Linked DNA regions of Saccharomyces cerevisiae S288C. Each later gene encodes a partner of the first gene's protein in a complex. Each region holds a gene or a part of one and is shown in the gene's direction. Other genes may lie near its edges. The genes, in order: TFB2, SSL1, TFB4 and SSL2.

Region 1 (4,481 bases):
TTCTGAATCTCCCCTAATCGCCTCAGCCTCTCCTTCGGTATTTGAGGCCCACAATTATCTGCGGCTTCGATGCCCTTGTTGCTGATGACATTTTCATTCGTTGCAGTGATAATTGAATTATTTGAAAGTAGCAAATTTCTTTGGGTTAAACTAAGACCTTCTAAAGATGGGTCTAGTTGCAGGGGTAAGTGACATGTTTGGCACTTCATTTTAATGCCCGTGTCTGGGAGTCTTTGCGAAAACAGTGACTGCCATAAAACGTAACTGAACTACCTAATGTGCTCCCATAGCACTACCCTTTTACTTCTATGAGAGCAAAATCCCCAGGCGGGTGACACTTAAGTACTACTAATGAAGGTAAAAGGACTATGTAATTCGATTATACCACCAGTCCATACTTCCCGATAGTTGATTTAAAATACACCTGGTTCGAACTATTTCTCTCTTAGTTGACACTTTATATACCAACTTTCTATATGAAAGTGATCATTTTACTATAGGATTAGCCGCGGAAAAAGTATTAGCCGCCCAAACTTCTATGTACCTTCCGCATAAATAGGAAAGAAAACAAGAAACTTGAACTTAAAATACTTCCACATCACAAGTATACTTTCCAGGAAAAGCACCAAATTACAGTTATCTAATAGTAATGCACAATCAGGAAGAGTGGCTAGACAAGGACAAAACTTTGGTGAACGAAGAAGAAAATACTTGCATCAACCATTCTTATACAAAAAAGGACACTAATAACTATCGGGTCGGTAAAAGCGGTATTAAGGACTTGAAGAAGCCTACGAACCAGAAGGAAATTGCGATAAAAAATAGGGAGTTAACGAAACAACTTACTCTTCTCAGGCAAGAAAATAATCACTTACAGCAGGCTTGTAAAATTCTCAGCGAAAACAAGATCATTGAGAACAGAAAATCCATAGAAAAATGGAGGACAATTTGTGAGATGGAACTGTCTTTTATTTTAAATTCCACTTTAATCAAAATCAATAGAATGGGCGGCTATAAAGATTTTCTAGAAAAAGAAATGGAGGCTAAAAAGAGAAGATTGGAATATCAGATTGACAACGGTATGGAAGATCAAATCTGTGAAATAAAGGAAAGTGATGACTTTAGACAACTTTCAGAAGTTGAGAAACAAGAGTGGGAGAGTCAAATGAATGAACAGCTGAAAGAGTTGGAAAAAAAAAAAATAGCGGAGCTGGAAAAATTGAATAAGGTGCTGCATGATAGCGAAGGGAAAGATTTTGGAATGGCTGAACTATGCACTAGGTTAAAACTTGACTACAGCTTAATCTTTCCACAATGAAAAATGCGTAAAACGTTTATTCATCTTGCATTTCTATTAGGTACGCGATTACTGAAAAAACGAATGTATTTTTTTGTTGTAGCGCAAATTACGCACCATCATATATTCACATATAACCTAACTTCATCGTCAGAATACAATACTAGTAACTTAGCATTAAAAGCCACCATCAAAGGGAAGAAGTGAACAATATAATGAGTGACTATTCCCTGAAGCATTCGGTCACTCAGTATTTGGAAGAAATTCCTCAACAAGTTCAAAATAGGCTTTATACCTCACCAGCTACATGTCTGGCTATCTATAGAATTTTACCACCACTAGCTAAATTTTTTATCATGGCAATGGTTTTCAACGAAAATGAAGTACCTTTGTTGGATTTAGATAAATGGGTTAACTCTAATGGTAAATTGCAGTTTCAGAATGCAATCAAATCGATGAAGTCTTTGCATCTTCTTATACCAAATAAATCATCTGGTACTTTGATGATCAACCTAAACCCAACATTCAAAATCAGCCTGAGGAACGCATTAACGGGTGGGGAAGTTCAAAACTCATTCGGTGTGGTTGTAGAGGAAAACGTAGTTAGCCTGGACTTGTTGGATGAATATTCAGCTAATAAATGGGAAACAATATTACATTTCATGGTTGGCACTCCCCTCGCTAAAATCCCATCTGAAAAAGTACTGAACCTTTTAAAACACAGTAAACTAATGGAAGAGGTAAACTCTACTGGAGAGTTCAAAATCACTAATGAAGGCTTCCAATTTCTTTTACAAGAAATCAACTCCCAATTATGGACATTATTATTGCAATATTTAAAAATGATCGAAACGTCCAAAATGGATTTAGTCGATGTTTTACATTTTATTTTCATGTTAGGCGCATTGGAAGTTGGCAAAGCCTATAAAATCGATGCATTAAGCGAAACACAAAGAATTATGTTACAAGATATGCGAGACTATGGTTTGGTATTCCAGAAGCATTCAAATGATAGCATTTTTTATCCAACAAAATTAGCTTTGATGCTGACTTCCGATACCAAGACAATCAGATCTGCCTCCAATGCGATGGATAGTGTACTGAGACAGAATAGAGAAGAGCCGTCAGTAAATGAAGACGGCGCCAACGGGAAATCCACAACAGATATCACTACATCAGATGATTTGAACAAAGCAGGTCTAAAAAATCAAGATATACCCGATGGCTCATTGATTGTAGAAACAAATTTCAAAATCTATTCATATTCTAATTCACCTCTGCAAATTGCTGTTTTGTCTCTTTTTGTTCATTTAAAGGCAAGATTTGTGAATATGGTATTGGGTCAAATAACAAGGGAATCCATAAGAAGAGCATTGACCAATGGTATCACTGCCGACCAAATCATTGCCTATCTGGAGACACATGCACATCCTCAAATGAGAAGGTTGGCAGAAGAGAAACTAGAAAAAAAATTAGAGCTGGACCCCAACTGTAAGGAGCCTTTACAAGTTTTGCCTCCTACCGTCGTAGATCAAATCAGATTATGGCAATTAGAGTTAGATAGAGTCATTACATATGAAGGTTCCTTATATTCTGATTTTGAGACTAGTCAAGAATACAACTTACTAAGTAAGTACGCTCAAGATATCGGTGTTTTGTTGTGGAAAGACGACAAAAAGAAGAAATTTTTCATCTCAAAGGAAGGTAATTCTCAAGTACTTGATTTCGCTAAAAGAAAGTTGAAAAAGAAACAATAAGTATATATACATATATATGCCCCTACATATCAATGCATTCAACGTAACAATTGCGCTAACACACGCGTCTTTCTTGCGCAGTAATTGTTTTCCTTTTTCATTCTTTCTTCTTTTGCATCTCTATCAACAAAATTTCGGTATCTAAGCTTTTCCTAAAATATCCCTTAAATGCAAACCTATCGAAAAGTAGGGGAACTACCGAATTTATAATTAACGCTTCAACTTTCGACCTATTGCAAGGCCAACTATTTAAGATATTTCAAACTAAAGTACTGTGTCAATGTTACTGAAAAACTTACACAGTCTCTTACAACTACCAATTTTTTCGAATGGAGCAGATAAGGGTATAGAACCAAACTGCCCTATAAACATTCCATTATCATGTTCCAATAAAACTGATATAGACAACTCGTGTTGTTTTGAATATCCAGGTGGAATATTTTTACAAACCCAATTCTGGAATTACTTTCCAAGCAAAAACGATTTAAATGAAACTGAATTAGTGAAGGAGTTAGGGCCTCTAGATTCATTTACAATTCACGGATTATGGCCAGATAATTGTCATGGTGGCTACCAACAATTCTGTAATAGGTCCTTACAAATTGACGATGTTTACTACTTATTGCATGACAAGAAATTTAATAATAATGATACATCCCTGCAAATATCGGGCGAAAAGCTGCTTGAATACCTAGACTTATATTGGAAGAGTAATAACGGGAATCATGAGTCCTTATGGATACACGAGTTTAATAAACATGGCACGTGCATTAGCACAATTAGACCAGAGTGCTATACTGAGTGGGGTGCTAATAGTGTTGACAGAAAAAGAGCGGTCTATGATTATTTTAGAATAACTTATAATCTATTCAAGAAATTGGACACATTTTCAACACTAGAAAAAAATAATATTGTCCCAAGTGTGGACAATTCCTATTCTTTGGAGCAGATAGAGGCAGCACTAAGTAAAGAGTTTGAAGGAAAAAAAGTCTTCATAGGCTGTGATAGACATAATTCCTTAAACGAAGTATGGTATTATAACCACTTGAAGGGTTCCCTTTTGAGCGAAATGTTTGTGCCCATGGACTCACTTGCCATTCGAACAAATTGTAAAAAAGATGGTATTAAGTTTTTTCCAAAAGGTTATGTCCCAACTTTCAGGAGGAGACCTAATAAGGGAGCAAGATACAGAGGAGTCGTTCGTCTATCAAATATTAATAATGGAGATCAGATGCAAGGCTTTCTAATCAAGAATGGACACTGGATGAGTCAAGGTACACCAGCGAATTACGAGTTGATTAAATCTCCCTATGGGAATTACTACTTGAGAACTAACCAAGGGTTTTGTGACATTATTTCGTCTTCATCTAATGAATTGGTCTGCAAATTCAGGAACATTAAGGATGCAGGTCAATTCGATTTTGATC
Region 2 (4,736 bases), on another chromosome or scaffold:
AAAAATATTATATATTGTAAATTAAAAGTTGATTATTAGTAAATGTACCTGAAATTTCTGTTTTCGATATCAGTCAAGTCCAAAAATTGGTACTTCTTCCTTTCTTGACCTTCTTGTTCCTTATCACGCTTTTCGTTCTCCTTCTTGCAAATGTAGCCAATGTATAATTGTAGGGGAACACAAACACACTGAGTGACCAATAAGGCAATCTTTGCTGGTATGTAACGTGGAGCAGAGTATGCCCTAAACATCTGTGGAGCAATAATACAGGAGACATTGTATACAATCATTGTAATAGCATTTCTAAAAACTCTTTTGGTGTAACCGGAGGTGTTGCATGAATTCCAGATGTAAATATTGGTAATGACACAGGAACCACTGTAAAGCAAGTACAGAGAAAATAAGTTACCGATCTTATGGGATAAGGGTAAACTGATAAGAACGATACAACCTATAATAGCTGGAATATACATAGATGTGGTTATGAGTGTGATATGACCCCAGCGGGACAACATTTGAGTTGTTATAAGAATAATCATAGCCGTAATGGCACCAATAGGCAACTGCAGTAATGCTGTTTCGTACTTGTCGAAACCAAAAGTACCAGTGATGGTCACTGAAAATGTACCAATGGCACCAGTAGAAATTTGAGAACATGCAGTTAATAAAAGCATCGGCCAAGTAAACTTATCATGAAGGAATAGTTCTTTAACTTGCTGCTTCTTAAACTTCTTTGTTTCCAGGCCAGTTTGGTTAGCTCTGATATGCTCAACAACTTGAATTTTTTCCTCTTTGTTTAGGAACCAAGCATTGGTGACGTTATCTGGAAGGTATAAGAATGTTAGAACACCAAACGCAACTGTAACCAGACCAACGACCAAAAACATTATTTGCCAAGAGGTGAAAGCGGTACCATGATAATGTAAAAAGCCAAAAGAAATTAACCCGCCCACAATATAACCTGTACCAGCCTGTGTGGCCCAGAATCCAATTCTTGCACTCTGTTCAGATTTAGTATAGTACATACCACTAATAGCGATACAACCAACTGCACTCGAGGATTCAAAGAGACCTAGGAGAGTACGAACGACCATCAACGAGGCGTACGTCTTACAAGCAGCATGGCAAGCCAACACGATACCCCAGACGGTAATAAAAGTACCTAGGATTTTGGAAATGGGGAATTTTTGAATTAAGTAAGTGACCACAGGTTCCATGAAAATGTAAGCAGCAGAAAAGATAGTACCCAAATTAGAAAATTCGTTACCTTTCAAATGATCTTTGATACCCATAGATGCAGCGTAGTTCAGCAGAGCCTTATCCAAAAACATCAGAAGATATGTACAGCATAAAAAGGGCAGGATGAAGAGGTCAACTTTTCTCAGGACCTTAGGAGATAATTCATGGGAACCATAGAAGTTGGCTTCTTCGCCTGCTACAACATCGTCTTCATTAGCCGTGGAGCTTTCGTCGAGACCGTTCTGTTTCAGGAATCTTAAAGCAACGTCCGCATCGTCTACATTAATGCTCGAGGTACTTACGGAACAACTATCAGCGTTAGCTGCCTTCTTCTCCACGTCCATGGATCGTTGTGACATGTTTTTCATTGTATTGATTTGCTGACACTCTCACTACTTCTCAGCAACAACAAAGTAAACTTTAATCTATCATACTTTGAACTATCTTATATACGTGTATATATGCACCCGCTGAGATGCTCATCGAGATTGCTCATCACCTCTGAAAAGGCTGTCTGTCACCACCATGTTTTCCGCCGGACCAAATGACAGTTCCTTAAGGGAAACTCAAAGAGACTATATTAACTAAGGAGGATCAACCAGATATGCAAAAAAAACAAATAGTTATGACGGCACTCGAACCAACCAAACACCACCCTATAATTAATGTTGATAATGATAGCGACTCGAAATTTGCCAATAAAACCTGTCTATTACGCGTCATCTACTTGAGAGTAATATACTGGAAGTTCGAGATACTCCGCACAGGGTCTGGGTGGTAGGTTTCTTTGCTATTGTATAGTTTTTCAAGATACGTAAAAGGTCTTCATCTTATCTTATATAGATGCAGGTGATTACTAGTGGGGCAAGTCGGCAGCTAATTGCGTGTGTGCGGAAGGATTGTGCAGTAGAATGGCTCCTGTAGTTATTTCAGAATCTGAAGAGGATGAGGATAGAGTTGCCATTACTAGAAGAACTAAGAGACAAGTTCATTTTGATGGCGAGGGAGATGATCGTGTAGACCAACAGCAACAGCAGCACAGTTCAAGCCACAGGGATAGGGATAAACATGTGCAGCGTAAGAAGAAGAAAAGGCTCTCGAATAGAAACCTGCAAGGTTCAAATGGTGGGTACGCTTGGGAGGATGAGATCAAGAGAAGTTGGGATTTGGTGAAAGTGGACGATGAAGGGGATATGGCATCTCTTGTGGCTAGCATAGTCGAGGCCAGAAAGAAACGTACTGCTAAGAAAAACATAACGCCATACCAAAGAGGTATTATCAGAAGTTTAATATTAACACTAGATTGTAGTGAAGCTATGTTGGAAAAGGATTTGAGACCAAACAGGCATGCCATGATTATCCAGTACGCCATAGATTTTGTCCATGAATTTTTCGACCAAAATCCGATATCTCAAATGGGTATTATCATAATGAGAAACGGTTTGGCACAACTGGTCAGCCAAGTTAGCGGAAACCCGCAGGATCACATTGATGCGTTGAAATCCATCAGGAAACAAGAACCGAAAGGAAACCCTTCATTGCAAAATGCATTGGAAATGGCAAGAGGCCTTTTATTGCCTGTTCCTGCGCATTGTACAAGGGAAGTACTGATTGTATTTGGTAGTCTTTCCACAACTGATCCTGGAGATATTCACCAAACTATCGATTCGTTAGTTTCTGAGAAAATTAGAGTGAAGGTTTTGGGGTTATCAGCTCAAGTGGCCATATGTAAAGAATTATGCAAGGCAACGAATTATGGTGATGAATCCTTCTATAAAATTTTACTCGATGAAACTCACTTAAAGGAGCTATTTAACGAGGCTGTTACCCCTTTACCCGTTAACAAAATTAATAAGGGTTTCACACTCGTAAAGATGGGGTTTCCGACAAGGATATTCGAAGATACTCCAACTTTTTGTTCGTGCCATTCCAAGTTAGTTTACGGCGGATACTTCTGTCCCAATTGTCATAGTAAAGTTTGTTCATTGCCCACAGTCTGTCCATGTTGTGACTTGATGCTAATCCTTTCTACCCACCTGGCCAGATCATATCACCATCTGATGCCGTTAAAAACATTTGCAGAAGTACCTACAACAGAAAAATTTCGATCAGAAGACTGCTTTAGTTGCCAGTCAAGATTTCCCATACTGAAAAACCATAAAAATGGTAAACTACTGACAAGTTCTCGCTATCGTTGTGAAGATTGTAAACAAGAATTTTGTGTTGACTGCGATGTGTTCATCCATGAAATCCTTCATAACTGCCCAGGCTGTGAATCCAAGCCCGTAATAACTTAACGAAAATCTGTCAGCGTATAACACGATCACTCTTCCATCATATAACAAATCCAAGTAGTAGAGAACGAAATAGTTTTTGATGGACATATAACTACATAATTATTACAAAAATAACCTCATTTAATGTCCTATTGTTTATTACGAGAAAATCTTAATAGCACTTACGGCATTAAGAATATTTATTACTATTTTCAATTTATCAGGCACTTATTCAACTAAAAAAAAAAAAAAAATTCTTTGTTTTACAATAATATTAATAATTATTTTGAATAAATATCGTTACATTCTATCATAATGTCCTCTACACGGTACAACCAAACTCACAATTCTATTTGAGTGGGCGAGAGGTTTGAATTTTTTCTTACTGGGCTGTGTGTAGGGGTCATAGATGTCGCTTGTTTGAATGAGTGAGGGTTGGAAGGTGCAATAGGTTTCTGTGGAGATTTAACCAAAACACTGTCGGTCATCCGGCTTTCTCCCTGCTTCCAGCTGTCAAAATCAATCAAGGCTTGCATACATCCCCACTCTGTAATTTTCTTACTAAGCCAGTGTAAATTCACTGGTTTAGTCAGGTAGTCGTTACAACCAGAAAGAAGTGCTTTTCTTTTATCCATCTGAGAGTTAGATGCGGTCAATGCTACAATAATCACGGGCGCCTGAGAGAATCTCTTTGAAGTACCTTTTTCAAGATTGGAGTGTGAGTTATTGAGACTTTTTTGAATGCCAATGCCATTTTGTTTTTCGAAGTCCCTAATCTGCTTGGCAGCTTCTATACCAGACAAGACAGGCAGCTGTAAATCCATAAATATTAAATGAAGACCGCCTTCCTTCCAAATATTAACAGCTTCTTGACCATTTTTAGCCAGTTTATATGAGATTTTGTGTTTCCTCAGAAAGGAACCTAAGATAGCTTGGTTGATGACGTTGTCTTCAACTATTAAAACATTAATTTTGGGGAAAACTTTTTCACTTGTGGTGGTAAAAAGGTTTGGTAAAGGATCTGGTGGAGAGGAAACAGCAAAAGGTGCGTTATAAAGCGAGTTTGAGTAATGCGGCGTTTGACTACTTGTTAATATTGGTGATGCGGGCGTAACGTCTTCTTTTCTTCTTTGTACTTCCGACATGGGTTGCGTTATGCCTATACCAGCTTCATTAAGTGATCCGCTTTCTTGCGAAGGGGATCCGGTGTTCACTTCTAAC
Region 3 (4,492 bases), 350 kb from region 1:
TGTCTCCTCAAACATGGATTTAGACTCTATTTATGTAAAAGATGAATCCTTCGAACAAGATGAGCCTCTAGTCCCTCCTTCTGTTTTCAACATGAAGGTAATTTTAGATCCGTTTTTGCTGTTTACGCAATCGACATCTACAATTGTTCCCAGTGTCTTAACACAAAATACTATTTCATCCCTAACCTTTTTCGATGATTATATGAATAAAAGTTTTCTCCCAAAGATTCAGATGACTATGGATTATTTATTCACGGTTGAAGTAGAATCCAATAATCCGTACGCCTTAGAGCTATCCGATGAAAATCATAACATTTTTAAAACAGCATTAGATTTTCAAAGGTTATTTTACAATTTATTGAATGTTTTCAACACAGCAAACACATTTAGAGAAAAAATATCGTACTGCATTCTAGATCTTTTGAATCATTTTTATAATTACTACTTGGGGCTATTTAATTCCTTGATTGGTACTTCTGATAGACATTTAACTAGGAAAATAATTACGGCATGGTTGCAGAATGGTATTTTGATGGATCAAGAACAAAAAATTCTGAATGGGGATGAGACACTCTTTCATGAAGAATCCATAGAGTTATTTAAGGAAATACCTCATTTCTATCAAGCGGGTAAAGGTTTGAGCAAATCTGATTTATTCAATAACTTGACATTGGACACAATTCTGCAGTTTTCGGCAAGCGTGTTATGGATATTAAACTGGCTGCCAGGCTTAAAAAAGGCTATCAATATTGATGAAGTAAGCCAAGAACCCATGTTAGATGCTGATAGATTAAGGAGCAGCTGGACATTTTCTGAATCAATGGATTTAAACTATTCGAACCCTAGTTCCAGCCCAAATTCATTAGGAAATCTAAAAATTTTATTGGATGATAAAGCCTCCAAAAAATTTGATGAGACTATCGACGGATTCAAAACCTTGAAATTCAAACTAATCACTATACTGAGGTTCAACATTAGGGCCTTGTGTATATACGACATCGGGTCTTTTTTTCAAAACACCAAAATTTGGAATATGGATGTGGGTAGTATTGAATTAGATCAAAATATAGCTTCTCTAATTTCCGAATTAAGAAGGACTGAAAGCAAATTGAAACAACAGTTACCAGAAAAGGAAAAAAACTCCATATTTATTGGTCTTGATATAGTCAACAACTACGCCTTGATTAAGGGTGCCAAATCCATAAAAGTTTTGAACCATAACGGGATAAAGAAAATGTTGAGAAATGTAAATGTCTTACAACATGCCTATAGAAATCTTTCTTCTGAACCATCAAAAATTAATATGAACGTCACAATGAATTTTTACTCTTTATGCGGCTCCAGTGAAGCTGAACTATTTGAATATATAAAAGACAATGAATTACCGCATTGTTCTGTCGAAGATTTGAAAACCATATTGAGGCTGCAGTTTAGCGAGGAAATGCATCGTCAATTGAAGAGACAAAGCACTAGCTCAACTAAGGGTTCCATAAAACCTTCCAATAAGAGGTACACTGAAGCTTTGGAGAAACTAAGTAACCTCGAAAAAGAGCAGTCGAAAGAAGGAGCCCGCACCAAGATTGGAAAACTTAAAAGCAAATTGAATGCTGTCCATACTGCAAACGAAAAATGACATTTTTAGTTTGTGTAAAATTAATTTGATAAATAAATGAATGAAAATGATCAATAATAAGCGAATAACTATATTTTTAATTACCTTATTTTTACAATATTTTTCACTTGCACTTTTATTTTATTTTCAGCGCGCAGCTCGTCTTGTTCTGTTGAAATTCAAAGATACCTGAAGGAACATTACAACATCAATCAACACTTGAGTAGAAATATACACGATCCAATAAAATATACTGAAGCGAAGCAATCAGAAATGGATGCAATATCTGATCCAACGTTTAAGCATGCTAGATCAAGAAAACAGGTTACTGAAGAATCACCATCTTTGCTTACCGTTATTATAGAAATTGCACCAAAGTTATGGACAACTTTTGATGAGGAAGGAAATGAGAAAGGAAGTATAATAAAGGTTTTAGAGGCATTGATAGTATTTCTCAATGCTCACTTAGCGTTCAATAGCGCCAACAAAGTAGCAGTCATTGCTGCATACTCTCAGGGAATCAAATATTTATACCCAGAGAGCACATCTGCTCTAAAAGCCTCTGAATCTGAAAATAAAACCCGTAGTGATCTTAAGATTATTAACTCAGATATGTATAGACGTTTTAGAAACGTTGATGAGACGCTAGTGGAAGAAATATATAAACTATTTGAGTTAGAAAAGAAACAAATCGAACAAAATAGTCAAAGGAGCACGCTAGCAGGTGCCATGTCAGCTGGGCTGACTTATGTAAACAGAATATCAAAAGAGTCAGTAACTACCTCATTAAAATCAAGGCTACTTGTTCTTACGTGCGGGAGTGGCAGTAGTAAAGATGAAATTTTCCAATACATCCCTATAATGAACTGTATTTTTTCCGCAACAAAAATGAAATGTCCCATTGATGTCGTAAAGATTGGTGGTTCTAAGGAAAGCACGTTTTTACAGCAAACGACGGATGCCACAAATGGCGTTTATTTACATGTTGAATCTACAGAAGGGCTAATTCAATATTTAGCAACTGCAATGTTTATTGATCCGTCGTTAAGACCTATAATTGTTAAGCCAAACCATGGATCTGTAGATTTTAGGACATCATGCTATTTAACAGGGAGAGTTGTTGCCGTTGGATTCATCTGTTCAGTTTGCCTATGTGTCTTATCAATCATACCGCCCGGAAATAAATGTCCTGCTTGTGATTCTCAATTTGATGAGCACGTAATTGCCAAGTTGAAGAGGAAACCAGTTGTTCCAAGGTTGAAAGCCAAAAAGAAGGTGACGAAACCATGAACGAAAGGAATGAACATTATCCGTTTCAAGCAGGTAACCTTCGTCACAATGCATCGTAATAATACATAAAAAAAAATTAGCTTTAAGCACATGTATATTGGACATTCCACAGAAAAAAAAAAGCTTTTGATGTGATTAGCTTAAGACGTTGTGTCATCTTTGAACTGTTTTGACTTCAATCATATCGAATTTGATAATATAACTATCTATGTACTGTCTGGGTGCATCGCTGTTGTTGCTTCGGTAGATTTATTAGTTCGCTTTGGATAATGTATCATACAATAACATTGCCAACATCCATCATAACAGAAACATTAGGTGATAAACAATGAAAAGAGGAGAAAGCCAGGCGCCTGATGCCATCTTTGGTCAATCTCGTGCATTTGCACTATCTGATTCTTCAGTGAATCCTGATGTCATTGAATATCTTAAAAGTGTTAGGCAAGAAGCACTAAGAACCAACGCCATATCGATTAAGAATCATATGAATCTGCAAAAGAGGACGCGTCACAAATCAAGCATGTACGATGATGAGGATGAGGGGGCCCTTAAAAGGCACGCCATCTCGCCATCCTTGATTAGGCTTCAAAGGAATGTAGAAATATGGGTAAGGTGGTTTAACTCTGTGAAGGCGACGGTGTTGACTAATGCCTACGAGTTTACCGGTTATGAGGACGAAACACTGGATCTTTTATTGCTTTTCTTAAAGAATTATCTCGAAGATATGCCCAGCAAATGTACTACAGTTGAAAAAATTATAAGTGTCCTAAATCAGCATTCCTTTCCTGAGAAGGCAGAAGAGAAGGAAGAAAATCTTCAGATTGATGAGGAATGGGCGAAGAATATTTTGGTACGGCTGGAAAAAACCAAGATTGACAGTGTTGAGGATGTAAAAAAAGTAATCACTGAAGGAGATAAACATGAACTAGTTGGATACAACCAGTGGTTCCAATACCTTATAAACAATGAACCGCAGCATACTACTTTTCATGAAAAGATTACCTCTAAGCAACTTTGGGTTCTGATCAAGTATATGTCGAATACATGGATAAAAGAAATACACAAGAAAGGAAGGCATTATCGTCGGCTGCAAGATTGGCTATTCTACATACTGGTACATACACCCGAAAGAGTCACGGCAGAATATACAAGCATCTTGAGAGATCTTGGAAAGAAATGCCTTGAACTGATTCAAAAGAAGCCAGTTGAAGCACATGAGAATAAAATAACACTCCCGAAGGAGATGGCGGAATTGAATGTTGAGATACCAGCCGCGGTGGAGAATATGACGATAACTGAGCTGACAGTGTCTGTTATAGCAGTGAACTATGGTCAAAAAGACTTGATAGAATAATGTAAATAAATTTCTTATGTAGTTTTTTACAGGAAGTAAAAAGTGTTATTACTTTGATTGACTCATTCTTACATTTACTGATAGGCCGAAGATAAGCGGCGCCCTAAGAAAACTCGAGCGCAAATTGTCAGCGATGATGTAGCCATGCTATAGCATCAATCAATGTCAATAAGCTAATAACAACTATCATCTATACTCCAACGCAGCTCTCTTGTTTAGGTTTCTCGTCAATCAAA
Region 4 (5,995 bases), on another chromosome or scaffold:
CGAGTTTATCACCGGTGCCGTCCCAGTAAACTTCAACTCGCCAGAATCGAAGAACAGCCAATTGGGTAACGGCGCATTATACAACTGAGAACGTCCGTAATACGACACAATGGATTCTTCGTTAGTGAACATTGAACGGTCAAAAGTCACGTTGAAGACTTCATTAGGATCTAGTTTCAGAGCGTTTTTGCCGTTAGTATAACCATAGTTTTTTAACAACGCCAATAGATTGAAATCTGACGATAGCGAGATGGATGGACGGTTTGTAACAACAAATTGGTATGTATTGTTCAAAGACGTGCTGTCGGCAGAGTCCGTACCCTCGAGTATTACATTGAAATACAACGTGGTGTTCGCATCAGATAGTAAGTCAGAAGAAGGTTCACCTGAGAACGTTCTAGAACTAGAGTCAAACGAAAGCCAGCTCGGTAAGTCGAAGCAATTGTATGTTATTTGAGCTGTCTTGTCTACAGACGATTTATAGGTATCATTGGAAATTTGAAATGTAAACGATTCATTGACTCTTGCCACTGGGGGGTATTGTTTTCCGATAGGATATGCCTCATAGGGCGTGGCCACTACTAGATGGAGTAGTGATATAGTAGCTGTCAGCAATAATGAAATCTGAAGCTGTGTCATGGTAAGTGAATGCTTCTTGATATACGTAGATGTTGGAAGCAGGAAATCGTTTCGAGGAAGATATAATTTTTCTATTAAGTAATTGTTCTGTTCTTCTAGTGATGGTGGCTGTTGCAGTGTCAATCACTACAGGATGTGAGAGTAAAGAATAAGAAAATAAGTTCTCATATGAAAAGTGAAAATTACTCGACAAAGGAGGGCGACTCTCGGCAAGGAGCTTTGAGGTTGTGGAGATGCTATCTTTAACCATACCTACGATGGGTATTATTACATTCTTGAGACAGGGCTCGAGTACTGCTCGAAGAGGAAACATAAGTTGCCAAAATTTATTTGTGACGCGAATTGCCAAAAGTTCTATGACGCGTTGTTCTTTTTTTTTCGCGTCTTTGAATTATATAGTGGATAATTTTTGCGTTCTGTTTCTAATTATAATAATGACAGTGTGGCGGTTTATTATTTTCGAGGTATATCCTAAATATGTTACATATGTTGTCTATTGGCGGTTCTTGGTCTTGCACGGATGATGTTATCCACCCTTAGTAGAACTTCAGCGGCTTCAGATGCAGAGCTGACTACTGCTCGTTTTAGCTTGTAACTCTCGACGATACCTAACTGTCTCATGTCGGCAATGGTTCCGTTGTTGAGATCTAAACCTGAGGTGGAGATACCGTTGTATATGGAGGATCTTAGTTTGGACACAAGTTCGCTGCTGTCAAAACCAGCATTATCTGCCAAAATGGTTGGCAGTTGTCTCAGAGCACGGGCAAAAGCCTCCACGGCAAGGGACTTCTTTCCGTCGATGTTTTGAGCTTCGGTGTCCACAGCTTTTGACATGACCATCTCGGCGCAACCGCCGCCAAGAACAGTTCTTGTTTCCTTTGTGGTCTGTGACAACACGGACAATGCGTCATGCAGGGATCTCTCAGCTTCATCAAGCGTTTGGTCGGTAGCACCTCTTAGGACGATGGTACAAGCTTCACCAGCTTTGCAACCACTAAACTTCAAGAATGGCTGTTCACCAAGCATAATTTCCTCGATCACGTCACATTCTCCCAGTTTGCATTTACTTGGCTCGTCAAATGTAGACACCACCTCACCGCCTGTAACCAGGGCGAGCCTTTCTACACCTTCAAAATCAGCATGCTCAATTGAGTTTATGCCCAAATCTGTAAATAATTGCTCTGGATAGTCATAAATTAGTTGTCTATTGATGAAAGTGTTGATACCAAACTTGGAAATCTTGGCAATTTTATTCTTCATCTTTTCACGTTCTGCCTTTTCTAGTTGTGCCAATTTAGCAGTAGAATCGACTTTGAATTTGGTGCCGAATATTTTGACCTTGTCTGTATCCAAAGTTGTATTGGCGATTAGAATCTTAGCATTTTCAATTCTCTTGGGTTGGTTGTTACCAAATTTTTTGGCAAGAATGAAACCTTCGTCAAGGAACGAATCTGATAGCTTTCCACCAAGAATCTTAATGATCTGAATATGTTCTAAGTTAGTGGAGCCCTTCAATCTCAAAATAGCATTAGTTGCTAATTCTGCGAAGTGATCCTTATCCTGAGACAAAATTTTGGAAGATAAAGTAGTCTTGGCAATATGGATCAGATCTTCACGGAACATGGTCTTATCATGAGAGTTGTCAACAGCCGCTTTCGTTAACGCATCCAATGCGGCTGCTGAAGCTAGTCGGTAACCTTCAATAATAGTTTGAGGGTGGATTTTGGATTGATCAATCAACTTCTCTGCTTCTCTAAGCAACTCTGCGCTCAAAACAGTAACACTAGTGGTACCATCTCCAACTTCGTCATCCTGCACCTTACTGATGTTCACCAACACTTTGGCTGCGGGATTATCCAGCGGAATTGACTTCAGAATCGTAGCACCATCGTTTGTTACCATGCAAGTGTTACTGGACGCACTTTGCAATAATTTATCCATCCCTTTTGGGCCTAATGTGCTTTTCACCAAATCACCCACGGCAATGGCACCGACAAACGCCGACAAACGGGCGTTTTCCGCTCTTTCTTCTGTAACCTGGTCTCCAAATATCTGTACACTCATCCTGAATCTTTTGAGCTTTGTACGACTGACTCTTCTTGCCTATTTAATGGCCACCTTTCATCCTCTTTTTTATTGCTCTGCTCTTGTCTTTTAAACTCGCCACCGCGAAGAGAAAAAAATTTCAGATCGTTAGAAACGAGGTTTTTCTTCTAAGAAGTATAAGGAAAAAGGTCCTTAGTAAGGATAGATAATAGTAATGATATCTACATTATTTAGTAAAAGTAGCATCTACTGACGTTGGAATCAGTGGAAGATAAATCATGACGGACGTTGAAGGCTACCAACCTAAGAGCAAGGGGAAAATCTTTCCAGATATGGGTGAGTCCTTTTTCTCATCAGATGAGGATTCACCAGCTACTGATGCAGAGATCGATGAGAACTATGATGATAACAGGGAAACGTCAGAAGGACGTGGAGAAAGGGATACCGGCGCCATGGTAACAGGGTTGAAGAAGCCTCGGAAAAAGACCAAGAGTAGCAGGCATACAGCGGCGGATTCCTCTATGAATCAAATGGACGCTAAGGATAAAGCGCTTTTGCAGGACACTAATAGCGATATACCAGCAGATTTCGTTCCAGATTCCGTCTCTGGAATGTTCAGAAGCCATGACTTTAGTTATTTGCGGTTAAGACCAGACCATGCTTCCAGGCCCCTTTGGATCTCGCCAAGTGACGGTAGGATCATTCTGGAGAGTTTCTCTCCATTAGCAGAACAGGCTCAGGACTTTCTGGTCACCATTGCAGAGCCTATAAGTAGACCCTCCCATATTCATGAATACAAGATCACAGCATACTCTTTGTATGCAGCTGTTTCTGTAGGGTTGGAGACGGATGATATCATTTCAGTTCTGGATAGATTATCCAAAGTACCCGTTGCTGAATCGATAATCAACTTCATTAAAGGGGCTACCATTTCATACGGTAAAGTGAAACTAGTTATTAAGCATAATAGATATTTCGTGGAGACTACACAAGCAGATATTCTGCAAATGTTGCTGAATGATTCCGTCATCGGGCCCCTAAGAATAGATAGCGATCATCAAGTACAGCCACCAGAGGATGTACTACAGCAACAACTTCAGCAAACCGCTGGAAAACCCGCTACTAATGTTAATCCGAACGATGTGGAAGCCGTGTTTAGTGCAGTTATAGGTGGTGATAATGAGCGGGAAGAAGAAGATGATGATATTGATGCCGTTCACTCCTTTGAAATTGCCAATGAGTCTGTTGAAGTCGTAAAGAAAAGATGTCAAGAAATCGATTATCCCGTGTTGGAAGAATACGACTTTAGAAACGACCATAGAAACCCGGATTTAGATATTGATTTGAAACCTTCCACTCAAATCAGACCCTATCAAGAAAAATCGCTGAGTAAAATGTTTGGTAATGGGCGTGCTCGTTCAGGGATTATTGTTTTGCCATGTGGCGCAGGTAAAACTTTGGTCGGTATTACCGCAGCATGTACTATAAAAAAATCCGTAATTGTTTTATGTACTTCATCAGTCTCCGTCATGCAATGGAGGCAGCAATTTTTACAATGGTGTACCTTACAACCTGAAAATTGTGCTGTTTTCACCTCTGATAATAAGGAAATGTTCCAGACAGAATCCGGTTTGGTTGTTTCCACTTATTCAATGGTGGCAAACACAAGAAACAGGTCTCATGATTCACAAAAAGTTATGGATTTCTTGACCGGTAGGGAATGGGGGTTCATTATTCTTGACGAAGTTCATGTGGTGCCCGCCGCAATGTTCCGTAGGGTGGTCTCCACCATCGCAGCACACGCCAAATTGGGACTGACCGCAACGCTGGTTAGAGAAGATGATAAAATTGGTGATCTGAATTTTTTAATTGGTCCAAAACTTTATGAAGCAAATTGGATGGAATTATCCCAAAAAGGACATATTGCAAATGTCCAATGTGCAGAGGTTTGGTGTCCCATGACAGCAGAATTTTACCAAGAGTATTTAAGAGAAACTGCAAGGAAAAGAATGCTACTGTATATCATGAATCCAACAAAGTTTCAGGCATGCCAATTCTTAATTCAATATCACGAAAGGAGGGGTGATAAGATCATCGTTTTTTCAGATAATGTTTACGCCTTACAAGAATATGCTTTGAAAATGGGAAAACCATTTATTTATGGTTCCACACCACAACAAGAGCGTATGAACATTCTGCAAAATTTCCAGTACAATGACCAAATCAATACCATATTTCTATCAAAAGTTGGTGATACTTCCATCGATTTACCAGAAGCTACCTGTTTAATTCAAATATCTTCGCACTATGGGTCTCGTCGTCAAGAAGCCCAAAGATTAGGAAGAATTTTAAGAGCTAAAAGACGTAATGACGAAGGTTTCAATGCGTTCTTTTATTCTCTGGTTTCTAAGGATACGCAAGAAATGTACTACTCAACAAAGAGACAAGCGTTTTTGGTAGATCAAGGTTACGCATTCAAAGTCATTACACATTTACACGGAATGGAGAACATTCCAAATTTGGCATATGCTTCACCCAGAGAACGTAGAGAGCTATTGCAAGAAGTATTATTGAAGAACGAAGAAGCTGCTGGTATCGAGGTCGGTGATGACGCTGACAATTCTGTTGGGAGAGGTTCAAATGGCCACAAAAGATTTAAATCAAAGGCCGTTAGAGGTGAAGGTTCATTGTCTGGTCTTGCTGGCGGTGAAGATATGGCATATATGGAATACAGTACCAATAAAAACAAAGAACTGAAGGAACATCATCCATTAATCAGAAAGATGTATTATAAGAATTTGAAGAAGTGAATAGGCTTGGTTTCATTGTCACCTTCCTATTTTGAATCTATTCAGTCATAATACCTTTTTGTTCCCACCGTCTTCTTATTCTTTCGTCGCTGTTCTTTCTTTTATTGATTCGTCACGTCCATTTTCTTCCATAATATAAAAAATAAAAAAAAAATAGAACATTCCTAATTAAAGCATCCAAATATACTTACATATATTTATTTTAAAAATAACTACATATCAATACTTACTTAAATTGGTTTGGAATACTTGAGAAGGGGAGTGAGGGTGGAATTGAACAAAATGCAGGTTATTAAAATGCGGAAAGGTGGGGCTGAGCTTTGCTGTAGATTGCTCGGGTATTATATATCATTTATTTTATTAATTTGTTACGTTATGTTCAGTTTCAAACTCCAAATTTCGTAACTCTTCAATGACGTTTCCTAATTCGTTTTCAGAGTTTTCCAATGACGATTGAATATTAATTTTAAATTTACTTGTTATATCAATAACATGTATCA

Evidence for each region.
Region 2: TFB2 (region 1) and SSL1 share a complex: the UniProt entries of both Saccharomyces cerevisiae proteins name them as parts of the 7-subunit TFIIH core complex.
Region 3: the proteins of TFB2 (region 1) and TFB4 are in contact, whole or in part, in a cryo-EM structure (PDB 7K01), measured with the Saccharomyces cerevisiae proteins. Residues at the interface, in NP_015203.1 of Saccharomyces cerevisiae: Leu33 (codon at 1,609), Tyr36 (codon at 1,618), Arg37 (codon at 1,621), Pro41 (codon at 1,633), Lys44 (codon at 1,642), Phe45 (codon at 1,645), Met48 (codon at 1,654), Ala49 (codon at 1,657), Phe52 (codon at 1,666), Asn53 (codon at 1,669), Lys64 (codon at 1,702), Trp65 (codon at 1,705), Val66 (codon at 1,708), Asn67 (codon at 1,711), Ser68 (codon at 1,714), Asn69 (codon at 1,717), Gly70 (codon at 1,720), Ala111 (codon at 1,843), Leu112 (codon at 1,846); in NP_015381.1 of Saccharomyces cerevisiae: Val59 (codon at 2,060), Asn62 (codon at 2,069), Ala63 (codon at 2,072), Ala66 (codon at 2,081), Phe67 (codon at 2,084), Asn68 (codon at 2,087), Met114 (codon at 2,225), Arg117 (codon at 2,234), Phe118 (codon at 2,237), Ile245 (codon at 2,618), Gln246 (codon at 2,621), Ala249 (codon at 2,630), Thr250 (codon at 2,633), Phe253 (codon at 2,642), Ile254 (codon at 2,645), Leu258 (codon at 2,657), Pro260 (codon at 2,663), Ile261 (codon at 2,666), Ile262 (codon at 2,669), Lys264 (codon at 2,675).
Region 4: the proteins of TFB2 (region 1) and SSL2 are in contact, whole or in part, in a cryo-EM structure (PDB 7K01), measured with the Saccharomyces cerevisiae proteins. Residues at the interface, in NP_015203.1 of Saccharomyces cerevisiae: Asn344 (codon at 2,542), Phe345 (codon at 2,545), Tyr350 (codon at 2,560), Ala368 (codon at 2,614), Arg369 (codon at 2,617), Phe370 (codon at 2,620), Val371 (codon at 2,623), Arg380 (codon at 2,650), Glu414 (codon at 2,752); in NP_012123.1 of Saccharomyces cerevisiae: His116 (codon at 3,309), Asp117 (codon at 3,312), Phe118 (codon at 3,315), Leu121 (codon at 3,324), Arg122 (codon at 3,327), Leu123 (codon at 3,330), Trp133 (codon at 3,360), Ile142 (codon at 3,387), Pro167 (codon at 3,462), Ser168 (codon at 3,465), His169 (codon at 3,468), Gln723 (codon at 5,130), Val727 (codon at 5,142).

The regions. Positions count from the first base shown.
Region 1 is NC_001148.4:317,799-322,279, reverse strand, and holds TFB2 (TFIIH/NER complex subunit TFB2), read left to right. Parts: upstream 1-1,512; coding exon 1,513-3,054; downstream 3,055-4,481. Other genes in the region: VPS30 (beclin 1), read right to left, coding at 1-209; MEI5 (Mei5p), read left to right, coding at 650-1,318; RNY1 (ribonuclease T2), read left to right, coding at 3,335-4,481. UniProt on the Saccharomyces cerevisiae protein: Component of the general transcription and DNA repair factor IIH (TFIIH) core complex, which is involved in general and transcription-coupled nucleotide excision repair (NER) of damaged DNA and, when complexed to TFIIK, in RNA transcription by RNA polymerase II.
Region 2 is NC_001144.5:157,899-162,634, forward strand, and holds SSL1 (TFIIH/NER complex subunit SSL1), read left to right. Parts: upstream 1-2,150; coding exon 2,151-3,536; downstream 3,537-4,736. Other genes in the region: THI73 (Thi73p), read right to left, coding at 36-1,607; mitogen-activated protein kinase kinase kinase SSK1, read right to left, coding at 3,857-4,736. UniProt on the Saccharomyces cerevisiae protein: Component of the general transcription and DNA repair factor IIH (TFIIH) core complex, which is involved in general and transcription-coupled nucleotide excision repair (NER) of damaged DNA and, when complexed to TFIIK, in RNA transcription by RNA polymerase II.
Region 3 is NC_001148.4:669,241-673,732, forward strand, and holds TFB4 (TFIIH/NER complex subunit TFB4), read left to right. Parts: upstream 1-1,885; coding exon 1,886-2,902; downstream 2,903-4,492. Other genes in the region: exocyst subunit SEC8, read left to right, coding at 1-1,633; BRR1 (Brr1p), read left to right, coding at 3,231-4,256. UniProt on the Saccharomyces cerevisiae protein: Component of the general transcription and DNA repair factor IIH (TFIIH) core complex, which is involved in general and transcription-coupled nucleotide excision repair (NER) of damaged DNA and, when complexed to TFIIK, in RNA transcription by RNA polymerase II.
Region 4 is NC_001141.2:80,010-86,004, reverse strand, and holds SSL2 (TFIIH/NER complex ATPase/helicase subunit SSL2), read left to right. Parts: upstream 1-2,963; coding exon 2,964-5,495; downstream 5,496-5,995. Other genes in the region: AXL2 (Axl2p), read right to left, coding at 1-639; chaperonin-containing T-complex subunit CCT2, read right to left, coding at 1,120-2,703; kinetochore-associated Ndc80 complex subunit NDC80, read right to left, coding at 5,856-5,995. UniProt on the Saccharomyces cerevisiae protein: ATP-dependent DNA translocase. Component of the general transcription and DNA repair factor IIH (TFIIH) core complex. When complexed to CDK-activating kinase (CAK), involved in RNA transcription by RNA polymerase II.